Linked DNA regions of Arabidopsis thaliana. The protein of the gene in region 2 interacts with the protein of the main gene of each other region in a pairwise test. Each region holds a gene or a part of one and is shown on either strand. Other genes may lie near its edges.

Region 1 (10,871 bases), on a different chromosome or scaffold from region 2:
GTTAAACTGTTTCCAGTCTGAAATGGACAAAATGCGAGAGCAGTTGCTCACAGAATTTATGCCAGATGATGCATGTCCACTTGGTACCCGGTTTTTAGAAGATACCCACAAAACCTATCAGATTGATTCTGGTGATGTTAAACCTCGAAAGGAGGTAACTTCCTTCTTTTGCTTCCCATAATATTCTCTGAAAACCTCGAGCTGAACATAAGATTGAAATATGTTGCATCTGTGTCTTCAGGACGCGGAGGATCAAGAGTTTGGAGATGGCACCGAAACCGTTACAAAGAACAATCATGTAACATTTTCTGAAATCCCAGACCTCCTGACCGTCAATCAAATTCTAGAATCTGTAAGTTACATTTTTCAGCTTCCTAGAAACTAGATTACAAAGTCTTCATCAAAAGTAACAGCACACTATAAACTATACTTATTTTGTATTGTTTGAAGGTCGTAGAGACAACACGTCAAGTGGGTAGAATTTCCTTCCATACTGCAGCCGATGCTTCATACAAAGAGATGACGCTGCATTGTGAGAATCTGTTAATGGGAAAACAGCAGAAGATCTCGAGTCTTTTAAATTCTCAGCTACGACATGAGAGTTCTGTTAACTGCTCTCCACGACAACATGATGAAGAGATCAAGATTGCATCTTTTCATCCTATGATCAATTCAGCATTTCATACTGGGGTATGTATGCCTTCGCTATGAATTCCTGTGGATAGCCTCCGGTTTCATATTCCAAGATAACTGTTTAACCATTTTTGTATTGATTACTGAAATTTGTTTAGGTCGAAGTCCCTTTACTGTCGAAAGAATTCGACATGAAATCGCCAAGAACACCAGTGGGAACTATTCAGTCACCGTGCTATGCAGAACTACAAAATAACCCACAAGCATTTAGACTACCAGCCTCAAGCCCTTACGACAACTTCCTTAAAGCTGCTGGCTGTTGATCATCGGCAGGATCCAAACCATGTTTGGCTTTGAATTCCAGTCAAGAACTCAAACAAAACATAACAAAAATAGGTTTGCTTGGTTTTCAAAGTCTTGGGTTACGTTTTTATAGATTCTTTAGCATCATAAATCGGAATTATCTCCGTCGTGCTATAATTAGATCATTCCTCCTAGGTTTTTACTCCTATCTTCTCTTTTCACTTATTCTTTTGTCCAATTCTTGTTTCTTTTTGGTGTGATGTGTAAAAAATTGAAAGAGGCCATCTGGTTTTCACATGGTATTGTAATCTTAAGATTCTACAACAGATGCTTTGTTGAACAGTTTCCCTCAAGATGTACATTGGTTCTTCTATGATCTAATTTATAATTTGTGTCATTGGATAAGTAAATCAACCATAAGCGGATCAATTTTATCATAAAAACCTATATAATACACAGAGGAGAAGCTCGCATATATAGGAATGCGTTTTCTTTTGTATATGAATGTCACAAGAGGAAACTATATATTCATTTGCTCATTTGATTTGCTTAACCTCTTGAAGCATTTCAACTACTTTCTTCATCTTTGGCCTTTTTGCAGGTGTGATGTCTGTGCAAAGCAATGCAACTTTCAGAGCTGCAAGCATCTCTCTCCTCCAAGCAAAAGACACGGTGCTAAGCTTGGCATCGAGTATCTGTTCCGGTGTTTCTCCTCTCGCTGAAGCTCCATGGACCCATTTCACCAAATCTACTCCTTCACCAAACTCTTCCTCCACCGGCGCTCTTGAGGTTAGAATCTCAAGCAACACAACTCCATAACTGTAAACATTCCCCGGAGCTGTAACTTGCATTGTGTATGCATACTCTGCAGAAATAAACCAAGGGAAAGTGTTGGATTTTGTATAAAGTTACTGGTAACAAAATTAAGACTTTATACCTGGTGGAATGTAGCCAAAAGAGCCTGCAACTGAGCTAATACTCGCGGTGCCTCTAGAGGGATCTAGAAGTTTCGATATTTCGATTTCCCCAAGCACGGCTTTGTAACCAGAGTCTAGCAAGACGTTGCTAGAGGAAACGTCGAGGTGAATGATGGCGACTTGGTGGAGAAATGCTAAACCTTCTGCTGCTCCAACAGCTATGGACAGTCTCATTGGCCAGTCAGGTTGGTACTCTGGTTTCTTGGTGGACTCATGAATCAGCTGAGTTAAGTTACCATTAGGTAAATGCTGATGCAACAAGAGAGCAACGTCTTCGTATATAACAAACCCTATCGGTCTAACCAAATGGTCATGGCAAAGTTTGCTGAGTCTTTCGAGTTCTCTGATCATCTTGTTCTGATGATGAGATATGGCTCTATCCATAGACTTGAGTTTCTTCACCGAAACAATCATCCCCGAAGGCATAACGGCTTTATAAACTGAACTGAAAGTTCCCGTACTGAGTTTATTTGACTCCTTCATAGTTGCTTTCACAACTGCATCAAGATCAATTCCTTGTTTAAGATTTTCAAGGAAGACATTTCCCGCGATAATTGCTGGTTGCTCATCCTCAACATTTTCTTCAACATCAACATTTTTAGCCGCTGCTTTCTCTTGTTTCTCCCTCATCATGAAGAGAAGAACAACCACAGTGACTGATACAAAGACAGCTACACCAGAACCAATCACTGCGAGCACAATTCTGTAGGAGACTCTGTGATTATATCTCAAATGGTCAAGATCTTCAGAATATCCACAAGAAGAGCTCAATGGTGCTCCACAAAGCTCTTTGTTTCCCAAAAAGCTCGAATTTGGAGACTTTTGAAAGGGAACAAAGACTGGCACTGGACCATTCAAAAGGTTGTTTGAGAAATTAACCTCGATCAAACTCATCATACCTTTTAGTAGTGGCGGTATGGATCCTGTGAGCAAATTGTTAGAGACATCCAATGACACGAGCTTGTCGAGTTTTCCTAACTCGGGAGGCAATGATCCATGAAGATGGTTGAAACTTAAGTTGAGTGCTATCTGCAAATTCCTCATGCGACCAATCTCAGGAGGAATGGTTCCCGTCAAGTAATTTCGACCCAGTTGGAGCTGAAGTAGCTTCACACAGTTTCCAATCTCATGAGGTATGTCTCCTCTTATGGAATTTTGATCAAGAAGTAAATACTGTAGCCTTGGCATGCTGCAGAGTTCCTTTGGGATGGTTCCGTTGAGTCTGTTGTTACTCAAATCAAGCTTGTTTAGGTTTCCACTTCCAAGAAACGACTTAGGGATCTCCCCAAAGAGACTATTACCTGAGAGAATCAGTTCTTGAAGATTAATGAGCTGACCAAGCTCTGTTGGAATGGTTCCAGCGAACCCATTAGCTGCCAGATTCAGCAGAGTGAGATTAGAACACTTGGAGAACTCTGCAACAATCTCACCTGAAAGATTGTTCTTGTCTGCTTCAAAGTAAGTAAGTCCACTAATGTTCCCGATTGTCCTCGGAATGACTCCCACAAGCTCGTTATTCCCAATTCTAATGCTCGAGAGGCCGCTGCAGATTCCTACTGCTTCAGGGAGTTCACCGGTCAATCTATTCTGTGTCAAGACCAAAACTTTAAGCTTCCCTTTCTCAAAAATCCCTTTTGGAATCTTCCCCTCAAGTTGGTTTGAGTGAAGATTCAACAATTCCAACTCAGAAACCAAACCTAACCCATTCGGTATCTCACCCACCAAATCATTCTCATAAGCTGTAAACACCCTGAGACTGCTCAGATTCCCTACCCAGTGAGGTATAGAACCATTTAACCCATTTCCAGAGACCTGAAACTCCTCTAACCTCTCTAGAACCTTAAGCTCATCAGGTATCTCTCCAACAAGCAAGTTATTAGAAATGTTGAATGCTCTAAGCCCTCTAAGCTTACCAAACTCAACCGGAATCGCTCCAACAAAACGATTCAGAGACAAATCAAGAAACTCAAGCTCAGACAAGTTGCCAAAAGAAGTAGGAATTCGTCCATTGAAGTTGTTACCAGAAAGATCTAGATGCTTTAAGCTTCTGAGGTCAGAGATTAGAGTAACATTACCTCTAAGCTGAAGCCCTGAGAGATCAAGCATTTCAACAAAAGAGTTGTTGACACCACACTTAAGCCCAACCCAAGTACAATAGTCAGTGCCATTACTACTCCATCCTGGAACTCCAAGCTCTCTATTAATCGCAACCAATGTGGCTTCATCGCTTAGTTGAGCTTCACAAAGCTCAGATTTTGATAAGAACCCAACAATCAGAAGAATTGACATACACCAAAATGTCATTTTTAAGAATTGAATCAATCACACACTCTTGTTCTTCTTCTTCTTTCCCCCAAATACAAAATTATCATTGAATTTTTAAGCCAAATGAAACAAGAAAGTGAGAGAGGAAAAGAAAAGTAATGCTCTTTTTGCCATGAATCCAGGATTAAAGCTCTGGTTTTTCAAGTCAAAATAACTGTTTCTGAAGAAAAAGAAGAAGAAAGACGAGTGCTTTAGAGTGTGAGTGTGGCTTAGAGAGAGAGCAAAGCCCATAAATTTAGGGAGAAAAAAACATGAGAGAACAAAGAGAAGAGAGCAAGGAAAATTCGATCAAAGAGTAGTAGGGTCTCTGCTTATAAGAGAGAAGAGGAAATTGCATTTTTTTTAGTATATCACGAAATTATGATTGCAGAACCAAACAAAGATCCTCTCACTTCACACACAGACAGAGAGAGAGAAGAGAGAGACTCCACAAAGCAAACGCACTTGGAAAGGAGGGAATTTTTTTTTTCTTTTCTTTTAATGTAATTAATTTCTGATACAAAAAAGTTTAATTTTCTTCACGAGACAGTGCAAGTGATGAATGAATGAAAGCTGCATAAATCTTTCTGACACATTTTTTCTGCTTTTGTTTTTTGGAAGAAAAAAAAAAGATTTTAATGAAAATGAAGAGTGTACGTTTTTTGATAATTCTTTTCCTCTGACGTTTTTTCTGTACCATACTGATTGATACTGTCACAATGTTCAATACCAAAGAGGTAAAAGATTGTTTCCAAATCTATCTTTTTTATTTTTTTACCTTCTTTTAAAATCAAAATTTACACACACTTTGCAGTTATCATTTGTGGTATAATGACATTTTTCTTATTCGTAGGGACTAGGTTATATTTGTAGCCTACATGTTTTCTCTTTGATCTATATTTGACAATAGGGAATCTACTCTCGTGTGGTGATTTTTGATGATTACTTTAAACACGATCCATGTTTGATGTATACCAAATTTTGACGACATTTATGTCAAGAATATAAGATTATAGAATCACACGAGGTGGAAGATTATTACTATTATTATTCGTCTGCGACGATAGTCAGGAAACACTGTGTGTTAATATCAATAGATATGATTGATTTCCGAGTTTCAAAATACACGTAAATTTTTGTTGTAAGATGCTCAATATAACAATACGTAAACAACGATTTGTCAAATCTTGAATGTTGGTAGAAGACATGTTTTCTCAGATGTCTGCCTCAAACAGCGAGATTAGTATCTTTTGATTTTGTGATAATTGTTATAAATAAAACATACCAACAATTTATTAAATAGCTATGTCTTAAGCTGCTTCCGATACTCCTACGCGACCCAAAACATTGAAAAGATGTCGGATAGATCATATATGAGTTGAGCTAAACTGTGTTCATATTCTCATTGGTGTGTACTTTAAGCTAGATGATGGTCGTAAACTCACATACAAATAATTGTTGTTTATATTACACCATTTTCCTCTTTCCTCTAACTATTACCTGATACAGATGACATAATTAAGTATAGTACTAAAAGGTAAAATACTGAAAACGAGTTTGATTTAATTTGCACAATTGTAAACTAGAAAGAAAGATTCAAAGTATGCAACAGTCAAGCAAATTCATACAATTATACTCAAATATCCGATAGTCATTAACATTCCAGAAAAAAATAAAAAATTAAGAACATGAGTTTGGGTTTCGAGAAATACTAGATATACTAGTTAGCTCTTAATTTATGTTTCTAAGAAATTGTTGGTAAATGTTTTAAAAAAAATATATCATAATGAAACAAAATCATAAACAAAGCTCCGTTTTATCAACATATTCCTTTATGCTGCAAAGAGTTTGTATATTTATGTTTATTTTTGAAAATATAGATTGAGAATAATAGAATGAGGAAGAGTGGGGTTCACTCACGGGATGGGGTAAAAGAAAAAGGAATGTGGCTCTTTACGGTTAGGCAAATTGTAGGACCCTTCTTTGTCTGCTCCGACCACCACCACTCACCACCTCCGTCCCATCGTTTTTTTCCTCTTCTTGAAACCTAATTGCCTAATTAAGTATATATAAATAACACCACCAATTAAGCAAGTTTTATTCTATTAATACTATAAAAAACTTTATTACATAGTTACATTTCTTTTCACGTGAGTTTTCACAACTCATGATACTATCAACAAGACGTTGAACTTCTTCTTGTTTTGGTAGTACAACTGAAGTTTTAGCTACAACAAAAAATAAATCCATGAATTGACGAAAGTACGACTGAATTTTTCTATGAATTGATTTTTAATTATGCATATACATTTTTTCAGTTGATTAGTTTTATGCTTTTCAAGCAATCTATTTTTTTCACAAATAGGCGAATGAGTTAAAGACGAATCATAAGAAGAGCAACAAGAAAAAGAGAAGACATAATGATGGAAGCACCTCGTCGCTTTAAACTCGTGAAGAAGGGGAGATAAGAAGTGTAGTTAATTGTTTTAAATTTTCAATAATTAACATTGTTAGAGAAAATGTTAACCAATGATTACAATGAAAACTTAGTCATTAGCTTATGGATGCTTTACCTATCAAACTGACTTTCTGCGTAATCATTTGTGAATATTCATGAATATGCTTTCGAACTCTTGAAACGAAGATTATGCCGAGATTTATGCTCTCATCATTAAGGATTTGTGGGATGTCGTACCAAAAACTATTATTCTCATTTATTAGTAGCACTACTTCTTTAGGCTCACCAACCGTACGATCTAATTAGTGTTTTGGGGGAAATGTTCATCTTTTTAAACTCATTTTGTAACCATGAATTCCTGAAACCTTCCTTTTTATTCATATGTATAAATATAATATAATTTATTAAAAGTATAATATTATACAATTGGAACTTATGGACTTATGTGTGAGTTTTAACTATTTAAGCCATATTTTGATTAATATCGAATAATATAAGATTATCATGGTTGATTCCACAATTACCAAAACGTAAAGTTGTTAATTAGCCTCCCTAAAATTCCTAAGATTTTTCTACTAGTGAAGGAGGAATATAAAATTTAAAAACAAAGAGGAAATGTCAAAAGGACATGACTCGGCTGTCCATCTTGTAGTGATACCAAATGGGGCATGTGGAAGGTTGAAAGAAAGCTATCCCCACTTTTTGTTGATTATTTTCATCATTTTTTTCTATTTGTTTTCTATTAGCTTTTCAAAAGAAAGTGATTAGAAAATTTCATAGAAATATGTTTTTGGCAGTAATATTGATTGAGACTTAGTTCTCCCTTTATCGGACACATATCATGACCTTTGGATCATGGTCTGTCCCTCTTCTTTTACGCATTCATCGACATTTCTTTGTTTTCCTATCACTTTTCAACATTAATTCCATAATAATGAAAAAACAACAAATCCTATTTTTTCAAACTTGTTGAATCAAAGGGTCCTGAATTTACATAAAAAAACGTTTCAAGAAAACAACTTCAAATCGAAACGGAACGGAGTTCGTATGTTGGGCCTAAATGGGCTGGGCTACTGTAAAGATTTTACACGGTGTCATTTTCAGAAGATTGGATTCGAAAAACTCACATCTACACCGTTACAAAGTCGCTACTCACTACCTTCATTTTCCTTTAGTTTCATTTTTGGGTCTTTTTCTTTTTACATAAATCCTCTCAAGGCTTTCGATGTTTAATAAAAACAACTTATAGTATGTGAAACAGAGAAACACAAGTAATTAGTGGAAGAGAACGGAGGGAAAGCACTGTAATGAGAAAAGCTGGAACCGTTCAGCTAGATTAGGTTTATGGAAGGCTTCAAGTGTGGAAAGGAGATCTAGGAAAAAAAAGAATAACCATTCGTTTTAGACACTGGGATCTTATTTTCCAAAATAAACTGCGGGACCAACACCAACTGGATCATGGATGTGTATAAATAAGATCCCCAACAACGTTTCATTTCCTCTTCTTCCTCTTTCAGTCAAAACCTAAACACCAATCCCAATTTGGTACGTGACAAATTAAGTTATATTTCAGTTTGGTGTATATGCTTCATACTTTCTTTTTTCTTGGAATAATTCGTCTTCCACATGGATCCTTCGTCTGTTGACGATTATACGGATAAGAAAGATCGCTGACTTTTTCAAATCCACATGATGGGATCCAGATCCATAGTTCCGTATGTTATAAGATGTAATCGTTGATTAATACATGAACATGGGAAGACAGCCGAAAGTTGACAAATTAAAAAGGAGTAAAAAAATAGATGAGATCGGAATTAAAAAAAACTCTAGCTGGTTTAGTGCGCACTGCAGGAGTCATAGATATCTTTAAAAGTTATCATATTTGATATGATCTAATCTCACCCGAACCGAAATCGATCATACAATGACAATGATACAAAAATTCACTAGAAGAACCATCTCTCTTCTTGTTATATATCCTCTTTTTCTTCATATACGTTTCATCTATTTCCTCATTAGTTGCCCAAATTAATACTTTTAATTTTACTAATTGGTCGTCAACTATATAATCCCGAAAAGCAACCTTTTCTTACGACTTTCTTAACCAATTAAAAACACAAATCCCAGTAATATTTATATAGAATGAATGAATCAACACTCGTAAGAATAAGATAGTAATTTATATCGATATTACTAACTGCAGTCTCTATACACTCTACAAAGTATAACTGAATCGCTGTACAGAAAAAGTTGGTTCGAGGCTTTTTTTTTTCCTGACATCAAAGTTAGTTAGAGCTAGAGACGCTATAAAATTAATATAAAAGTTGGTTCAAACTACCTTTACCAGGAAAAAGTTTTTATTTATATAATTTGCGAAACGCAGAAATATGATTTTTCTGAAATACATTGTACCCAAAAGGACAGAGGAGCACACGCAGCACACATACACACGTACATGTATTATACATACGTTGTCGAGATTGTCTAATATTATTATATCAATTCAAGAATCTAGTTACTTTGGACTTTGGATGCATATTTGGTTTCCAGTATTTGACTCGGAGCGCAAATCTCGCCGATGAACCGACACATAGCATTCGTATACAAACACATGTAATTAATGATGTAACTAGTTGCTCATTTTTATAAATTAATAATCCCAAAAACTAGTCGATAACATGTAAACTGTAAACCGATAAGTTATCTATATTTTGCTTAAGATTCAACTTATATTAATACAGAAAATCGCATTTTTAGTCAGATTTAGAATGTGTTTAACAATCAAATTCTTGTATGGTTCATATGAGCAAATATAGCTAACAGTCTAAAACAGAACAAATATATAGAACTAAACAGTCGGTATTTATGTACGTACACATACATCTATAATCCTATAATCATTGACTCTTTTTTTGGTTTGGTTAGCAACCTATAATCTTTGACTTTTTGATCGCCTAAAAATATTAGTTTAAACAGGTATTAACGTTGGCTACGTAATCAGTAAACTTACAAAATGATATCAATGATATTTATTTAGTTGTCAAAATTTGACGATAAAACAAATTGAAAGTGGGTTGATGAATAACATGAACGGACAGTACGGCCACACCACAAACATTGCGGCTCATTTTATGGAGATATTCAACGTGCTCCTACTTATCTATGCTATTATCACCTTCGTATTAATACGTACGGTGCATCGCCGTATTAACATTAATATATTTCTTCCACCATTAATCATTTTATATTTTGAATAATTTCTAAAAACAACGTAAAATTATTGATACGTAGGTCGGCTATATATAGCTTGTAGGAACTTGTGCATATATCACAACCCTCTTATCTTATGTATACTCTTTTATTAGAGACAATTGATAGATTTGTTTTTCAGTGTCACTTGGCCTAAAAGCTCACAATGTCTCTCGTTCTCTCTCTTTGCTTGGTCTTCCTTTGTTCTCTTGTTCATGGTTCTCATAGCTTACCAGCACAACGGACTCCTCATCTTGATGGTAAGACAGTAAGACTATACGTTAGTTAAGTACTGCAAAAATTATCATATAATGGTCGATGTTATATATATTTGAATTATTTAGTATGTTATGTTAATTGAGCTATCCATATAAAAGTTATGATAGCAGAAGAAGAAAATAGTTTCCCAGTTTTGGAATTGACGTGCTGTCAAATTAATTGGGAACATGAATAAATAATTAAATAGCGTTATTTTAAATTTCAGTAAGAAAAATTATTTTGCATTTCATAAGGCCAGTGTGTTCTTAATTCTAATTTAATTTCAGTAACACATGTCACATGAAGGGTGAAACTAATACAAAGAACTAAACTATAAGCTCCGATCTTTTTAGTTTAATTAACGATGATAAATTGTTGTTTACGCTGATATATTATAGTTTTCATCGTAGAACTAAATGTAAAATTTCGCTTTTTATGTTTACGTGTAGGGCTTCTCCCAAATGGGAACTTTGAGCAAATTCCTAACAAATCAAACATGAGAAAGAGGCAAATAATTGGCAAATACTCTCTTCCACATTGGGAAATCTCCGGCCACGTAGAGCTAGTCTCTGGCGGTCCACAGCCCGGTGGTTTTTACTTCGCAGTGCCACGTGGAGTCCACGCAGCTAGGCTAGGGAACTTAGCATCAATATCTCAGTATGTGAAAGTGAAAAGCGGCTTGGTCTATT
Region 2 (10,871 bases):
CTCCTTGTAACTTAAACTCCCACAAACTCCATATATTGTTAAGGATCTCAAAAACAAATTACAGTCAAGGACAGTGAAATTTAATGACACTTGTTGTTTACCTTCTTGTCGATGAAATCGGCCCAAAATAAAGCTTGAGCTCTATGGTAAGGATCAGAAGGGAGAAATGAGTTGTTGTCAGACCAAACCTCGTCTATATATTGGATTTGGATAAGGGATTCAAGAACCGGTTTACCATTGTGGATGAGAACCGGGATTGTCTTGTGAATCGGATTCATCTCTAGTAGCAAGGGACTCTTGTTATTGATCACATCCTCTTCTCTATACTCATACTTCACTCCTTTCTCCTCTAACGCGATCATCGTCCTCATTCCGAACATGCTCGGCCAGAAACCGAGAAGGATCACTTCGGCTGCCATGGTTTCGATCCGTGAAGCTTTTTCTATTGAGTCGTATCTTATTAAAATGTGTAGCATCGTTAGGCTGTTAATAAGGGTAACATGTCCATTCGAAATTATTAAACGTTTTGGTCAATCATATTAAACCTTTTAAAAAAATATCAAAGTGTGGAATTTTTATCATTTCTTTCATTAGTTTTATGGTAACGTTATGATATCTCGTAGACTAGTAGTTTAATAATGCTAGTGGTGGTTATAGAAACCATAAATATTTTACCATAGTAGTTTGATAAGTACCTTTTGAGAAAATAGCAGTCTGATAAATCAAGGTTATAAAATATGTTATTGATGAATGATGTCATCTTCTGCCGAGAGAAAAAATTACAAGCAGGATAGTGAAAGGGATGTTTTATTACTTTGGCGGTGATTTTTACTCGAAACAGAGCATCTGAACCTTTTGGCCAACCATATTAAACCAATTTTAAATTTTGGTAAGTTTATTATTTCCTTCATTCTTAGTTTAATGAGAGTAGCTTTATAATGCTGCTAATGGTGTATATATCACTATATTGTACTAAATTCAGCTTGTTAAAAATATCATCAGTAGTCCCCTTTTAAACAATTGCAGAGTGTAAATCAAAGGTATGCAAATCTTTCTTTTGGTGATGAAAAATACAAATTTTCCTCTTTGCTATTCTTCTTACAACTTATGAATGGTGATGACAGTAATGCAATAACGATATGAAGCTTTGACTAGTTCTTTTCTAGCAATCGAATGACCGAAACCATATGTTTTACAATAGAATTGTATTGATCTTCGAAACAAAGATCACACGTATAAATTATATTATTCGGTGAATGGTGAGTTGATGACAAAAGGATAATCAGAGAAAAACTGTTGGTGTGAGCCACACCGTAGTGGAGTCTCCACTCAAAGCCTCAAAGTAAGGGAACTGACCAGCTTTTATGTTAGTGATCAATGTATTATCTCTTAAGAAGCAAAGAAAAGAAAAACAAACAAAAAAACCCTAATAATAGTGATAATAGATCAGAGGTGTCTTTTTGTTTTCCCTCTAAGCGGAGTTTAGAGAGTGCTTTAGTCTGCATGTCCTCCCAAAAGTGGCTGAGAACCCAATTTCTTTTTATCTTATGTTTGCAGAGCCACTACTTGCATGATTGTAACGTGGCCATCTACTTTATTAATTGCTGGGTGTTATACTATTTTCGTATACGCGGTACTAGACAAGTAGAAAAAGAAAAAAGAATTCCAACTTTTTCTTGTGTTTGTTCTTTTGAAAAGGATGTGACTTCATACTTGGACTCTTTAAGTCGAAACAAATTTTATTTAAATTCCATACTTAGGATGCATAAAAACCACAACACACATTCACTAAGGCTCTCTCGCATTATTAGGGGAAAAAAAAAAACAAAGACAAAAACAGAACACAGCTTAGCAACAAGAGAACAACAAGATTATTCAAATCAGAGATTGTTCTTCCTATACTCAGCAGCATATGCAACAATCTTCTCAGAGTCAGGGAGAGACTTAGACACACTCTCTTTCTCCATGCACCGCTTTGCCCAAGCGATCAGTTTCGGACTCTCTGACTCGATGCTAAAGTTACCAAACTTCTCATAGGCTTGGAACCAACTCGAGAATGTAATCAAGGAAATGTCTACATACCCAAAGCTATCTCCACCAAAGTAAGGTTTATCTCCTAGCTCAGATTCAAGAATCTTCACTGCCTCAATAAATTCCTTCTTGCCTGCTTCTTGTTCCTCACCTTTCTTCCCCCATACCTTGAATTGGGCGTCGGTGAACTGAATCCATTACAGAACATCGAATTATGTCAGAAGGAACCAAACTCATTTTTTCAGATAACCCTAAATCACATTGTTTCAGACTCAAGTTAAGAAATCTAGGGCACAAAAGGGATTAGTTACCTTCTTGTCCACGAAATCAGCCCAGAATCGAGCCTGAGCTCTCCCGTAAGGATCGGAAGGGAAGAACGGGTTCTTCTCGGGCCAAGCCTCGTCGACGTACTGGACAACGTTAAGAGATTCACATACCGGTTTACCGTTGTGGACCAGAACCGGGATTTTCTTGTGAATGGGATTACTCTGGAGGAGTAAAGGGCTCTTGTTCGAGAAATCTTCCTCTCTGTATTCAAACTCAACACCTTTCTCTCGCAACGCAACTCTAGCCCTCATCCCGAACATACTTGGCCAGTAATCCAAAAGAATCGGTAGGTTCGCCATTGCTATAGGATCTCTGAAGTTCACAAAGTGGTATATATTCTTGCTTTTTGTTGTGCGTGAACAAGCGAGTGTGTGTTATAGTAGAGAAGGAGTGAGTGACGGTTGTTTTATAGGGGAAGAAAATGATGTGGAAAGGATTTTGATTCCCGTTACGTCACATCAGCTTTTTTCAAAGCATATTATGGTCCATATATAAATCTTTTAAACAGTAAGCTTTTACCCGTAACGATTTAAAATGTATTTTGCAACTTTGTTAAATAATTGTCATATGTGTGCAACTAGTGAAAACATCACTTAATATAAAAGAGTGTGATTATCTTTTGCTCTGATTCAAACCTTAAACGTATATGTAAGAGATTAGAATGGAATTAGTACTTGACAATATAGAAATCGACTTGATTTATAAGAAGGTAACAAAATAAAAAGTTGATCGAGTGAAGTAATACTTTGCTTAGTTGCTGCATCAGTCTCTACTTTTGGCGTGGCCACCTACTCACAGTTGTTTGTATTATTATCTCTCAGTTAGGTGGGTGTACATTTACCACGTGATTCCCTTGATTTGATATCAAACATTACAATCCGGTACATACGAGGACAAGCTACTTACCATGCATGTACAAGAAATACGCATTTACACAAGGAGTGATAACAGCTATACTAATTTATTGAGAGAGTATTGCACTCTATTAAATATATCACATACACCATTATTTTTTCAATATCAGCATAAGATTTATAAATACATAATGCTTTATCTATGTTTATACTCTAAATTCTTTATATATATAAAGCCTTTGAAATAATATTTTAAAATTTACTAATCGATCCCAAAAATTACAGGATAGTTCTGTGTTAATATCGTTGTTGTAATCGTAAATCAAATTCAAATCCCATGAACTGTGCGGATCATAGTAATGTTATTTGATCTACCGAATTCAAATTCGGCAAGAAACACTAAACCCGTGGCTAATCTGATCATACCGACACTAATGATCACATCAACCACATAACTTCCAATTGACTACAATATGGAGTTATGGATGCCAATTTCAATTTGGGCTTATGGATGCCAATTTGGGCTTATTAGATCCAGACCGGCTTACCATTCTCGATGTTGGAGGTTTTAATCGCCAAACTGCACTATTGTCTTTTACAGCAACATTGGCGTGATAAGCTTGGTCAGGTAGAAGAGTCGTATTGGCGTAATTACATATCAAAGTAACAAATTAATAATCATTATAGATTAACGATCATTAATTAAACTCATAGTTACAATGCATAAAAACTAGGACAAGCCATTAAATCCAGAAAACACAGGAATCTGCTACAGCAAAGACATACATTCTCTACACTCAAACCACCTCACAGATGCTCTGCATTATTTAAGAAAGACAACACACGAAAGTAAAACAGAGAGCATCTTAAGTCCGAACCATATGACAAGAGAAACATATTTACTCAGGTACAAATTTCTTCCTGAGCTCAGAGACGAATTCAGTAACCTTCTCAGGATCAGGCAAGGACTTAGCCACGCTCTCCCTCTGCAAACACTTCTTAACCCAAGCAATCAGTTTCGGAACCTCAGATTCGATACTGAAGTTAGCAAACTTCTCGTATGCTGGAAACCATGTGTAGAATCCAATCAACGCAATGTCTACATAGCCAAAGTCATCGCCACTAAAGTAAGGTTTGTCTCCAAGCTCAGATTCAAGAGTCTTGAGTATCTCAATGAAATCCTTCTTCCCTGCCTCTTGTTCCTCACCCTTTGTCGCCCACACCTTCCTCTGAGCATCATACAGCTGAAACATTGCACAGAGTAACATAACACCAAGCTATGTCAGAACTCAGTCGAACCCAAACAAAGCTCAAAGATGATGTCTACAAAGCAAAACCAGTCCTAGAGACCCCCAAATTGCAAAAGAAACATATCATCAAACTATCTAAGATGAACCCAAACAAAGCTCAAAGATGATATCTACTAGCGAAACTAGTATGTAAAAACCTCAAATTGCACAAGTAACATAACATTAAACTATCTAAGAAGACAAACCCTGACTAGCTCAGAGATGAGTCCACAAGAAAAATCTGAAATTTGGAGGTGAGATCTCTAACCCTAACAACTACAAACTCAAGTAATATTATAACATCAGACAAACCCATACAAGCTCAAAGACGAGTCTACAAGCAAAACCCTAAATTTGAGCCAATCACTAGCAAACTCAACTAAAGTTTCAATTTTTATGAAATCCCAAGTTCAATTTCAACATTATTCAATCAAGGGCACAAAGGAAATAAGATACCTTCTTGTCAATGAAATCAGCCCAGAACCTAGCTTGAGCTCTCAGGTAAGGATCAGAAGGAAGGATAGGGTTCTTGTGAGACCAGACCTCGTCAATGTACTGAACCTGGATGATAGATTCGTTAACCGGTTTACCATTGTGGATGAGAACAGGAATCTTCTTGTGAATCGGATTCATCTGGAGAAGCAAAGGACTCTTGTTCCTTAGATCTTCTTCTCTGTACTCAAATTCAACACCTTTCTCCCTCAATGCGATCCTTGTCCTCATCCCGAACATACTCGGCCAGAAATCAAGAAGAATCACCTCGTTCGCCATTGTTACGATCGCTAAAGCTCACAAAGAGATTTTTTTTTGTAAGTGTTCGTCTTTCTCGATTTGTTTGGTTGGGACACTACCTGTAAGGGTTTAGGTAATTTATAGATGAGAATATTTATGATACAATAATGGATTGTGCTGACTCTAGTCGTTACGTCACACCACTCTTTAAAAACATGTGGCCAGATTTTAAAGCTTTTTAAAGTAATAATTTATAATTACAGTATTTTCTTTTTACGTAACATATCTTCATTCGCCTTTTTTTTATCTGTTGACCATTATAGTGTTTTATATAGTAACTTGCAAATATTCGTGTGGACTCTATGATTGAAAAAAGAAAAAAAATCGTCTGAAATCTATTATCATAGTAGCAAATTTGGATTTTGGATGTTAAAGGAAATTATGGATTTCAGTTGACCAGAAACCATAATGGATTTCTAAATCAAGATTTTAGATTTCTTAGCACTGCGTTTAATTATTTTAAAAGTTGATGGAAAAGATTATTTTGTTGTAAGAAAATAACTGGATGGATTAACACAGTTTTAAATTATGTGAACAATTAATTTGACTAATGAGTATTGACGTTTTATTTCGGCACAATGTATCATTACCTGATGAAAATATCATTTATTTATAGAAGAAATGATTCATATTGAAACTTAGTTGAAAAACGTGCAAAAAAATACAGAGGACTTAGAAAAGCGAGCCAAATTTCTAGAAAGCTGTGTAGGTTGAAGAGGTGGAAGATACGTTCACGTTACCAGAATTAACTGGAAATTTTCGAGATATTTCGATGGAACTGTAGAGATTGTGTTACGTCAATAATTGTATTTATACAATTGACGTGACCACATGATCTCGAGAAGCTTGGCGACATTGATCACGAAAGCGAGAGAAGATCCTGGTTCAGTATTGGTTCTATCTTATTTTTGTTTTGGTCATGGACTTATGGTGAATTGGGCCTATATTTTACAAAAAACAATGGATCTGAACCGGGCTTCGAAAAACAGTTTTTCTTATTTGAAAACCCATTAATAAAAACAAAATCATAAGAGCGAGCAAGAAAAAAATCATACCTGACCTTTCAGAACTCCTGTGGCCAAACAAAATGATCTTCTTATTTTTAAATTCTCTTATTTTTAATTCCAAAAGATATAAACTCGCGCCAAAAATTTATGTAACTGATGCTTTAGTATCTTTAACATAGCTAGATCTATTATAAACCTATAATAGACTAGTTAACAAATTTAGCCAAATTGGATATGTCACCAGAGAAAGCAAAATCAGCTACATTGGGTATTTATATTTCGTCGAGTAATATACGGGATTTTTTTCAGGCAGATAATGTGATCTATTCATTATAGACATATATGATTGTTTCATAAGAAGAAACTAGCTCAACATACTCATATCTGCGTTGGGTTCGATATCTCACGACACGTAGCAACATACTCATGTCATAACATGATACATCTTACAATATACACAAAATAGTTGACTAAAAAAAAGCACACACACATTAGGATAAGAAGATACTTAAATTGTTATTTTTCATTGATGATTTCGAATGTGTATCTGTATCTGGAAGTCTCTATAGTGTGTAGACTTTGATCTAGAAACATCGAATGGACCCTACGCACTGTATTACGTGGCATTTTAGTTTCAACCTACAAACTCGTTACTTGATTTTGTATATTCTAATGTTTTTGAGGCGTCAAATTCCGAGACATCAACGTATTTTTCGGCGAATATACTATTTAAAAGTCATGTACAAAAATACGTATGATCTTGATGAGATTTTCCCTAGTATGATTACATATTTGATAAAAACTATTTATTTAGAAAAAAGACACAGCAGTATGCACGTTATAAATCAAAAAATGGTCTTTTTCCATGTCAAAAAAAAAAGATAGTTCCCGGAAAAAAAGAGTGGCCATGAAGTGTATTACATGTTCAAAGATTAGAATCAATCGATTGGCTACTGTGAAATGCGAGTGCTTATGTATACGCTTACGTGTATGCACTTTAGAACCAATAAGAGTAGGATAAAAGATCACAAGTCAAAACTGTGAGATGTTTCCCGTTTGCTTAAAGTAGAAATCGCAACAACCTCAACGTAAATTCATGAATAAAATAAGCTGTCAACAAGTTAAACCCATAAATGCATCTTTTTGGTTTATAATTAAATTGCATAAATAAAGTTTTGACTTGTTTATTTTAATGAACTGAATTAGTTTGGACCTTTAAATTCTATTTCTAATGGTATTCCTAAGTAATATTTTATAAAATACAAGGTTAGTTTTTTTATGTAATTTCGAAATATAAGTATAGGGATATGGATTTCTTACTTTAAAAGAAGAAGAATAAAAAAACAATAATTCGTATTGTGGTAATTTCGTAATTTGTAATACCAATTATTGCAAGAAGAACAAAAAACGAACAGACGAAAAACGAGCAGATAAATAAAAGTTGTTGATAATTGTAAAAAAGACAAAGAACGATCAGAAAGATTAAAGTAGACCTCATTCCCAAAACAGAGATCACATGAGATATTTTCGGGTTTCCATTTTCGAAGGTCAAATTCCTTCTATAAGAAGCTTCTCTAGCTCTACACAGTTCATTCACATGCAGCTCACAGAGATATTTGGGGAAGCTTACATAATATAGAAAAGATATCAGCATAAACCTTCTAAGATAATCAAGTTTAGTGTGTCGACTATATTTAGCTATTTTTATAAGTAATGCATTTTTCTCATCGTTTATAACAATAACTCCACTTTAATCTACTTTAATAACCATCTTTAATAAATCAGTTTTGATCAAATCTATAAATTTTTATGCTAACAAATTCTGTGTGTAAATTAAAACTTTACTACAAAACTTTGTACACAGTTGGATCATTGGACACTTGATCATAGTATATACATAATACATAATCACAGTATATACGTATAACTAAAATTCAAGAAACTCGTTGCCGGGGACTAATGCATAACAATCCCTCAGGCAACAATCCTATGTCACTAATCACTATCACTCATATTAACATTTATAAGATCCTACAAAAATCTAAAACTAACACAAAGCTTGCTTCGATAAATCTTCCTTACTGATGAACGTTCCGTGGAAACCGTAAGGCACTCTCGACGGAAGCGTTACGGTAGCTTCAAGCTTCATATTAACGGCGTTTATGAGTTGGAGTTCCGATTTCACCTTCTCCTCGTCGTGAACGAACACCATTATGTAACCTCCGTCTTCTTCTCCGTCACCGGAAGGTAGAAACAGAGGCTCTCCTCCGTATTTCCCCTCTCCGTAAATATACTTTCGAATCTCTCCGGTCGATAAGTCCACTTTAGCGAAACCGGACACTTTAGGCCACGGTTCGGTTAAAGCCAGATAAGCATACCGGGTTTTTCTACCTAATAAATTCCGGTTGACCATACCAGCTTCGAGATTAACTTGTTCCGAGATAACCGGTCTACGTGTTGATTCCCCTGTTTTAAGGTTTAGCCTTATCTCCGACAAAACACTCTGAAGTGTTTCGTCGTGTTCGTTGAAAATTGAATCAGGTGGCGTCATGCATGATCCAATCACGACAACCTCGTCTGTTTCTGGTTCTTCCCAAGAGTTCCATAGATGGAAACAAAAACAATCTGGTACTTCGATCCATTGAATCGACGAAGCATCTTTCGCGTTTTTATTCAAAATCCCGAATCTTGATTTCTTCTTCTCGTCGTAAACCACCGGAGAACCACCTCTTATCATCTCCGGCAATCGGAATACCACTTGTTGGTCTGGAATCACTACGAAATTCTCAGTGATCGCGAAATCGTGGATCATCGTTGGTTGATCAAGCGGAATCTCGACGTCTGGTGATTTCTCACCGTCGGATGTGAATCTGAAGTATTTTAAGTAAGGCTTTGAAACGACGTCGTAGCTTAAAGCGAAGAGTTCTCGGGTTTCGGGATCGATTTTCGGGTGGGCTATCATTGTTGATTTTAACTGACCGTCGAAATCGTACCGACCCGAAGTTTCTAAATCTCCGGTTTGAGTAACTTTGACATGGTACGGTAAATCGTCTTCGGACATGGCTAAGAGATGACCATTGAAATAAACTAAACCGGCGTTAGCGACACCGAGTCCTCCGGTCGGGTCGACTAACCCAAATAGCCCGCGGGTATTGAAGAGCATAAGCTTGGCGATTCCTAAATGTCCGTGAAGCTCTCCAATTGCTTTGGGGAAAACCGGACGACCACATTCACGTTCTTGAACCAACCGGTTTGTTTCGGTAAACCGACAAGCGTAGCTAACCGAGCCGTTATCGAACCGGACAGCGTGTACCATACCGTCTCCGTCGAACAAATGGTGGCCGGAGACTGGTTTGTGAAGTGGATTTGCTCCGTTTCTGACGTAAACTCCTTGAATGCATTCTGGTACTGTTCCAGTCACCGGAAGGTTATGCACGACAGGTTTCTCCGGTACCGGGAAGAAGTTCCCGGCTATTTGGACGGCAGGATCCGCCGTTTTAGGATGGGGATGACGGCGGCGCTCGTGTGAGATCATGGCGTTTTCCACCGCGTCTAAAACCATAGCGGCGGTTCTCTGCACCGGGTTTAATTTTGGATTCTGATTCGTCGTTTTGGGGATCAAGTTGGTGACATCGTTACATAGTTTCTTCCAAGACGGTGGTTTGAATGTCGGAGATTGGAGAGAAGACGAGACGGAAGATTTTTTGTTGACGGAGGAAGAAACATAGCAGGGGACTACTAGTTTCTTGTTTCTAAGTGTTGAGGAAAAAGATAGAGATTGAAGTTTAGGTCTCGAAGAGGAAGATGAAGTTGAGAAAGTTCGGTCGAGGAATTGGGTTGAAGTAGAAGGAAGTAAGGTAGTAGAAGCCATAGTCGATTCTTGATTAAACGCTGCGGTTTGGGGTTTTGGTATTGGTTTCTTCAAGACCAAGTTTGTGTTTTGTCCATATTGTGAGTGATGAGCATCTTGGGACAGAAGGCTATATATATACATACCAGAAATAATGGTTATTATCGTCATTCACGCTACTATTTTCTCATCTTTTAACACGTGTCCTAATAATTATCTGACGAGACTTACATATTTTCATCGTCCCTCTTTATCATTTTCAATAAAATGGCTCATCTTGTTTATCTCCCACAATTTATCTTTGGATAATAAGTTGTAATAAATTTGATCATTTCACTTAGAAATTTTTCTACTTTAAGAGATATATTTTTTTCCGGCATTCTAGTTTAAGAGATCAATTTTTGTGTATTAGAAGTGTTTGAAGTAGTTTTGATCAGATTTTGTTTTAGAAGTGCTTACAATGTCATTGAAGGATGGAAGAACTACCTCTTGGACGGTAACAAAATATTTGAGATCAACTGTTTTGTCTTCTTTCGGAAAGTGCAGTTATTAGTAGTTTCACGTAACATAAAACAAACAAATTTAACAATTGAGATGATACCAACGATGTGAGACATTCGTTATGGGAACTTATTCAATTATTAGTCTTAGTTTTTAAGTGATTTTTATACCTAATAGTCCAAATTACTTGTGGTCGTAGTAATAGTTGGATTTTGAGAAA

The links. Proteins that work in one complex are often made in the same cells at the same time.
Region 1: the proteins of GSTU19 (region 2) and AT2G41820 interact in a protein complementation assay, tested with the Arabidopsis thaliana proteins (one large-scale study listed by BioGRID).

What each region holds. Positions count from the first base shown.
Region 1 is NC_003071.7:17,440,516-17,451,386, reverse strand, and holds AT2G41820 (Leucine-rich repeat protein kinase family protein), read right to left. Parts: upstream 4,644-10,871; 5' UTR 4,218-4,643; coding exon 1,874-4,217; intron 1,802-1,873; coding exon 1,473-1,801; 3' UTR 1,279-1,472; downstream 1-1,278. Other genes in the region: AT2G41830 (Uncharacterized protein), read left to right, coding at 17-154, 242-352, 451-690, 792-956; AT2G41810 (imidazolonepropionase (Protein of unknown function, DUF642)), read left to right, coding at 10,091-10,184, 10,632-10,871. UniProt on the Arabidopsis thaliana protein: Leucine-rich repeat receptor-like protein kinase that may play a role in vascular tissues development.
Region 2 is NC_003070.9:29,482,548-29,493,418, forward strand, and holds GSTU19 (glutathione S-transferase TAU 19), read right to left. Parts: upstream 5,461-10,871; 5' UTR 5,273-5,460; coding exon 4,958-5,272; intron 4,457-4,957; coding exon 4,112-4,456; 3' UTR 3,840-4,111; downstream 1-3,839. Other genes in the region: GSTU21 (glutathione S-transferase TAU 21), read right to left, coding at 102-419; GSTU20 (glutathione S-transferase TAU 20), read right to left, coding at 1,881-2,219, 2,343-2,657; NCED9 (nine-cis-epoxycarotenoid dioxygenase 9), read right to left, coding at 8,348-10,321. UniProt on the Arabidopsis thaliana protein: Catalyzes the glutathionylation of 12-oxophytodienoate (OPDA). In vitro, possesses glutathione S-transferase activity toward 1-chloro-2,4-dinitrobenzene (CDNB) and benzyl isothiocyanate (BITC), and glutathione peroxidase activity toward cumene hydroperoxide.